2 linked regions of the Caenorhabditis elegans genome follow. The protein of the gene in region 2 purifies or fractionates together with the protein of the main gene of each other region. This does not show direct contact. Each region holds a gene or a part of one and is shown on either strand. Other genes may lie near its edges.

Evidence for each region. The genes of interacting proteins can lie anywhere in the genome.
Region 1: the proteins of srh-239 (region 2) and inx-7 fractionate together in Caenorhabditis elegans (co-fractionation; one large-scale study listed by BioGRID). This does not show direct contact.

The regions. Positions count from the first base shown.
Region 1 is NC_003282.8:5,944,907-5,948,664, reverse strand, and holds the start of inx-7 (Innexin-7), read left to right. Parts: upstream 1-2,026; 5' UTR 2,027-2,034; coding exon 2,035-2,619; intron 2,620-2,668; coding exon 2,669-2,802; intron 2,803-3,345; coding exon 3,346-3,576; intron 3,577-3,623; coding exon 3,624-3,758. Other genes in the region: rps-25 (Small ribosomal subunit protein eS25), read left to right, coding at 1,065-1,235, 1,349-1,531. UniProt on the Caenorhabditis elegans protein: Structural component of the gap junctions.
Region 2 is NC_003283.11:15,443,676-15,447,433, reverse strand, and holds srh-239 (Serpentine Receptor, class H), read right to left. Parts: upstream 1,698-3,758; 5' UTR 1,582-1,697; coding exon 1,275-1,581; intron 917-1,274; coding exon 732-916; intron 685-731; coding exon 454-684; intron 407-453; coding exon 152-406; 3' UTR 53-151; downstream 1-52. Other genes in the region: T26H5.9 (HNH endonuclease), read right to left, coding at 2,133-2,245, 2,399-2,510; T26H5.10 (uncharacterized protein), read left to right, coding at 3,658-3,757.

The DNA.
Region 1 (3,758 bases), on a different chromosome or scaffold from region 2:
AGAAAAAAAAATAGAAAATGATGTTGCGAAATGAAAAGACACGACAGGTACAATTCATTCTTTTCATATATATATCTCTATTTGTCCATCGCTTGCCTCTCGTTTTTTTGTAAAATGTGGACATCATCAAATTAGTGCGGTTGAAGTGTGTTGCGACAATTTGTTTTTTTGCAAGTCCTCTGCTAACCTTTCTTTTGACGGTTTGGGTGTGGTTCGGCTTCATCTGGGGATCCGGAAATGACACCCTAGGTGTTGATCGGACCAGTAGTTGGTCTGGAAAAGATTGAGCAGATTTTTTTTTGATTTTGCTTCACATTTTTTCATAAATACTTGTGCATTTTTTGGACTAAAAATAATTTTTAGCGAGGTGGGATATCGATTCCAACTTTTCGTTCAGCTTCAATTTATTATTTTTATTTTCTCTTATTTTTCGCTTCAAATTATATAGCTTTTCGAACGAATTACCACGAAATTCATTAATTTCACTACTTTTATTCAAACTTTTTAAGTTTTTGTAACGAAATAAATTCATTATTCAGTTATTTTATATTTTTAATAGAAATTTTAATCTGAATTATCTTTTAAACAATAATTTTCGAAGAAAAACTGATTTTACACCAATGTTGCTTCGATTTTAATATTTAAATGCGAGAGAGTACACAAACGAGAGAGGTGAGAGGCATGTCACTGTCAAAGGCGCGTCGATTTACACAACTGGGTCTCGCAGCGCCGCACAACCGTAGTGCAGCGGCGGCACTATTTCTTCGATTTTATATGCAATCCCAAAAAGTTTTTTATTTTTCTGCTTTGTTCTTGACGGTTTTTCTTCGATTTTGCTGATTTTTTTGACAAATTTAATCGATTAGTGCAATAATTCAGTTAGATGACCGTATAATTTAGTATTCCAGCACATAATTTCTTGTAAAAAATAAATTCTCCTATTTTCTAACGAAAAATTGTAATTCCGTTTTTCCAACTACGGCAAAAATGTTTCATTCTTATTGTTTATCAACTCGTTTCATTACATGATTTTCCTTCTCATATGAATTGTCTTTACAGGTAAAATGCCCCCAAAGAAGGACCCTAAGGGAGGCAAGGCTCCCCCATCCAAAAAGAAGGAGGGATCTGGAGGTGGAAAGGCCAAGAAGAAGAAGTGGTCGAAGGGAAAGGTCAGGGATAAGCTTAACAACATGGTGCTTTTCGACCAGGCCACCTACGACAAGCTCTACAAGGAGGTTAGTAATTTTAAATTTTTGCTGTCTGGAAAAATTTCAAGATTCTGAAATTAGGAATCACAAAGTAGCAAACAACGATTTGAAAGAACAAATTGCAATGTTAATACTTTCAGGTCATCACCTACAAGCTCATCACACCATCCGTCGTCTCTGAACGTCTGAAGGTTCGTGCTTCATTGGCCAAGGCTGGACTCAAGGAGCTCCAAGCCAAGGGACTCGTCAAGTGCGTCGTTCATCATCACGGACAGGTCGTGTACACCCGTGCCACCAAGGAGGCTGACGTTATCGTCGAATAACTTGTTGATTTATTTGATGTTTCATAAATGTCAAAACGTTTATATCTTGTGTTTTTGTCGAATTCATTACAGGACTTACATGATCACTAAAGTAGGAAACTCATTCAAATCTTATAAGCATCCTTGCCTGTTGAATATGGTTAGGGAGACATTTTCAGAATTTTTCAGCTCGAGTTCGGATGAAGCTCGGTTGCAGTGACAACGTCGTTTCGATGACTGTTTTCACGTATAAGATTGAACTCGCTCTTCGCGGTTTTTGCGATGTCTGATGCTTTCTGAAATCGTGTTGGTAAGATTTTTCGGTCGGGCTCCATTTTCGCGATTCCCGGACCATCCAAAAACGCAAAACATTGGAGAAAGATGCGGTCTCTGCGTCTCCATTGTTGTACGGGCATCGGTGACCGCCTTTTTCTCTAGTGTCTCTTTGTCAACTGTCTCTCGTATGACATCGTGCATTCAGAACTCAATCACAAGGCTTCCAAGTTCTCACATTCTCTCCCGAGATGTTCGTTTTTCGTGTCTTAAACACTGTTCCATATACAAATCGGACTGGAGCAAAGGATCTTGTCGCCAGCATACACTCATTCCTCACATCGAATTTGCTCGTTGGATTGGCCGTTCTAATTTCATGGAAACAGTTTGGTGGAACTCCAATTGAATGTATGGTTCCATTGGACTTCACAAGTGCTTGGGTTCAATATTCGAATAATTACTGTTGGGCTCAACCAACATATTTCATCCCATTCACAGAAGAACTCGTGGAGCAAGTTGTCGATCCAGCTGATGTTGTAGCAGATGGAATAACAATTGGAAACGGTGGAAATCGACCGAGATTTGTCAAAAAAGGCGGCGAAAAAATATCCTATTATCAATGGATGTCATTTTTTCTACTTTTCGAAGCCGCATGTTTCCGATTGCCTTGTTTCATTTGGAAATATTTTGCCAGTCAAAGTGGAATGCAAGTCGGTGAGATTCTTCGAGTAGCTTCAGATGAGAATAATGCTGTTCCACTTGTCAAAAAAGCGAATATCGATGCATTGTGCATTCATTTACGAGGAGTTTTGCGATTCCAAAAAAGACTGAAATTGGTAGGCAATTCTAAATGACCGATAATCATCTAAATACACTTTTTTGCAGAAAAAGATAGTTCCACACAAGATTCTGCGTTTTCTGAACATCAAGTATTCCGCATACTACGTCACTTTCATCTATTTTGTTGCAAAAGTTGCATTTTTGCTCAATGTCATCTTACAATCGAAGTTGTTGAACAAGTAAGCATGACCGCGCCTTTAAATCAATAAAATGCCTCGTGACGCGAGAAAATGGAATTGATATGGAATTCTGGACTTTGAAAGGAAAAAGTTACGGAAATATCGTAAACTTTTAGCTCAATTCCGCCAATTCATCCGATAATAAAATCAGCTTCGAAATCCTGCTTTTTCCGCCAGAAATACCACACCCGGTCTCGACACGACGAATAAATGTTGAATGCGAACAGGTGTGCGCCTTTAAAGAGTACTGTAATTTTAAACTTCGTTGCTGGGGAATTTGAATCGATTTTTCATAAATTTTTTAATAAAAATATACTTATTTATTGAAAGACAAAATAGAATTGACTTATAGAATTTAACAAATCCTGAGAAAAACAATGGAAAATCATGAAAATTCGAAAATACAGTACTCTTTAAAGATGCTCACACGTTTGTATTTGAATTAAATTGTCGTTTCAAGACCGGGTACAGTATTTTTAGTGCAAAATTCACAAAAGTTCGCATCTCGCTATTAGCCATTCATTAAAATATATCGATTTCCAGATACATGCTCCCACATGATCGTCAACAAAACTTTGGCTTCGATATGTGGAAAACCATTTTCTATGGAAGTACGAATGGAAATGAGACATGGCGAGAGAACGGGGTGTTTCCACGTGTAACACTCTGTGATTTTGAAACTCGGGACATGGGAAATGTGCAGATGCATACTGTACAGTGTGTGCTGCTCTTGAATCTGTTCACCGAGAAGATTTTCGTATTTTTATGGGCCTGGTAAATAAGGCTGGAAGTTTGTGTAATTAATTGAAATCGTCTTACAGGTACATCTTGCTCACTGCCTTCACCGTTGGAAATCTGTTCTCTTGGTTGTTTGCAGTTTTCAATGAGACTTACAATGAGCATTTCATATTGAATCATCTGGAAATGTGTGAAACTCCATTTGATAAGGATGATTT
Region 2 (3,758 bases):
CATACGATTCTGGGAACTCCTAACATATTTTTATTCCACTCGAAAAATGAGATTTTGAAAAACATTTATTCAAACTGGAATCTTCGCTTTAAAATTTTCCACTAATGATTTCCCGAATAAGTTTTAACCACTTTTGAAGACTCGTGATTTGTTAGTGAGTCCTTGATGTCGAAAACACGGGGAGCACATCTACAGTTGTGTGATCTATGAAAAATCGTTCGAACGGAGAAAAGGCAAAGTCTCGATATGGTTTATGGGCGAACACCATAATAAGTGTGGAAGCAATACCGTGAATTGCAAGAGCAAAAAATATCAAATTGCTATGAAACTGATTCTGATAGTCAAAGTATACAAATGCAATGAGAACATTGACAGGGACCACGAAAAGAAATAGTGTAAAGGATGTCTGAATTTATTCTTATTTTGGAAGTCATCATAAAAACTCATGCGAACCTGTATAATCAAGGCGACCACCAGCCTATGTTGCATTTGAACTGTCTTTTTTGAAATGCCACTGGGTCTCGCAAATATCAAATTATAAATATTAAGAGTCAAAAATGTTCCACACTGAATACTTGGAACACTTTCAGAAACAATCATTGTGATTGCTGGACCAATAAGTTCAGTTGCAAAAACGAACAGTTCCCGGCCATCATCAGGAAGCTCCGGGATGCAACTGAGCATCTTCAATGACAAATAATTGGAACCATATTTTGAAAAATGAAACTTACCGCCCAAGAAAGTTCCCGTCCCGTTACTTGCTCAGGAATTAGAAATTGAATTGGCAAGTAGTACAGAGGCACAATAATATAGCTGAAAACGATTGCATACTTTCGGAAATGCCTCCACTTGGAGTTTTGACCAAATAATATATGGAATCTGTTCTCAAAAGTTACAAATACTGCCGTGGTGACGCCTGAAAGCTTGGTTTTAATACAATTATCTAGAAACTGAAAACTTCTAGTAAATTTGAATTTTATTGATAAAAAATTGTTTTTGTGTTCAAATAGTCGTAGATTGAAGAATAATTATTTTTGTTAACGTGCGTGTTAAAATCAGGCGGCTGAAAAAATGGCGTTTGGTTTAATGTTCAAAAAATATTGGGAATATGCTTATGTGAAAGATCATAAGAGAACCCCAGCATTTAAAACCAGTCATCAATATTGTTCAAATTATTTCAAAATTTTAGAAACTTCACCAAAGACCATTAAAAAAACTATTAAATAGAAACATATTTTCCTATCGGCTTTTCAGCCACAATTAGCTCCTCTTACCGGTGATAAAAGTGACTCCTAGATAGAAAAATAAGCCCGGAGACTCAACAGGACCTAGTCCATAGCCTGCCATAGCAGGTAGCAAAATATAAGGAATACCCAGAAAACTGATAGTAATATCAAGAAAAATGCACCAACAATGTAAGTTGAATAACAACCATTTGACGGACTTCATATGAACTGGCGTCTTACAGACAATACAATAAAATCCAAATGCATGTATTGGAGTTGCCACGGCTGTTATTATATGAAACGCTAATTTTAGAAAACCAGGACTGGCTAGGTAGTGACTTTCACACGAGATCATTGGAGAAATGAGGTCGGGGTAACAAAAGTTCGAATAACAGGCAGGGCAGGTGTTTATTTTTAAGGTTACTACGCTGAAAGATTGGAATTTCTACGTAACTTTGTGTTTTTTGAAGTTGAAAAGCACTAAAAATAGTTCCAATGAGTAAAGTAATTGAAAAGTTTGAACAAATACTTATATGTAATTCAGATTTTCGCGGAAAACACGGCGCTGCAAAATTATACTTTTTGAGCAAACGAAAAAGACAATTGAGTTGTTTTAACCTTTCTTAAAATTATAATAACTTTCTATTCTTGAGAACTTAAAAGTTTGCATTTGGAAATGTACCTCTTAACAAACGGCCAATATATACAACATAAGTAGGTTATTATTCAATGAAAATAAATTTTCGGCCGCTGCGACTACAAGTATGTAGAACAAGAAAACCGCCTGTCATAATTATGAATTCGTTTTTATTTCTATCATCCTCAAAAGTCAAAAAATGTATTTAAAAAATTTATTACATAAAATTGTTTTTCAACAAAAAATGATCGCTTTGTGTAGGGTTTCATTCAGTCATCCTCATCCGATTCTTCCAGGTTTCTAGCAGCATAAGCAATCACACGGGGATCGCATGCGTGCACTACGTATTGAAGTTCCGGATCGTGAAATCTATATGGAGGTTCTGTAAATTTTGAAATTGAAAAAAAAGCAAGTGCGATTTAAAATTCGACGGTCTCCCCAGTGACAAAATCTGTATTTAAACTTGTCCCTAAACGAAAATCATTTTACAAAAAAACTTGAGCAGGCGCTCTTTGATAAAAGGGAAAAAACAAACCTTGTTCTCGTTGTTGATTGATTCTGATGACTTCAGGATGATATTGACAGTCATTATCAGTACACTCTCCCATACATCTCAGACAGAATCTTCGCGGGTCATCGTCACTCATTATGATCTGGAAATATTTGGATTTATGCAAATAGAAATTTAGAGAGGCTTTCTGGTGGTATTGCAAGCGTTACGGTATTTAAATGCCGTGCTCAATGGGCGGAAATGAAGTAGAGCAGAATTGATAAGAGAACTCATGATATAACTTTTATGATCAGCTGAAATTTTAAACAGTTGATTAACTTTTTTTACTTTTTCTTGATAACACTTTGAACATGAAAATTTTCTTGGCTTTTTATTTTCAAAACGATGTCAACATTTCCGGTTGCCCACTAGGACTAGAAAAAACCGGAAAGTGAAACTCACTGGCGCCCAATAAAATATTATATGGGGGACGCTTGCCTGAGAGTGCTATATAATTTAAAGTGAGCAAGACTTGTTGGTCAGAAAACTTTCTAGAAATTCTAAAAGTATAAGAAAGTGCAAGATTTAGTTTATCAGCGTGAATTTCTCAATTTGTAATTTTTAAAAGCAAAAAAAAGAACAATTTTTCGAGAACTTGCTTCATATGCCTAAATCTGTATAAATCTGTATGTATTGCATATTCTCAGATTATTGACAGATATGAATTTTCCATTTTTTTTGAGAAATACGAGATATGCATGACTTTTCAATTGAAATGTGCCGCTAAATGAAACATAACGTTTTGCAGAAGCAGGTGATTTATTGAAGACAAAATTGGAAAATTACGTAGTCCTTATCAAACAGTATTTATAAATAGATGAAGTTTTTGCACAATAAACAAAAAAGTTACAAGAAAGGTCTAAGATTATGATCCTCTATTGACCCTGATTCTCGTGAGATCCACAATGGGTGACACCTGGACCGAAGGTTTCGTTTCTGAAATTAATATTTTTTAACTTGAGAAATATAATCATTCTGCTATTTTAGACGGAGGTCGTCGGAAGCTTACTTCTCAATAACTCACTTATCAATTTGGAAATCTTTCTTACAGAATTCAATTTGTTTTGTTTATTTTCCCATTTGTGTTTATCTTCCCTTGATTAAATTCTTTGCTATATATATATGCTGACCACAATATGATTCGATAGGATTTTATTTTATTTTATTCTCAAACAACATGAAATATTCTATGTTTATCTTCATACTGATCTCAGTTGCTGCTCTTCATGCTGTTAGCAATACCCATGAGCTCAAAGACGGTGCAATCGAAGGATAAAGATGAAATAGGATACCTTTTTACGGGCTACTTTTCTTTAAACGATTGCAAAAGAGAATACAATCAAAG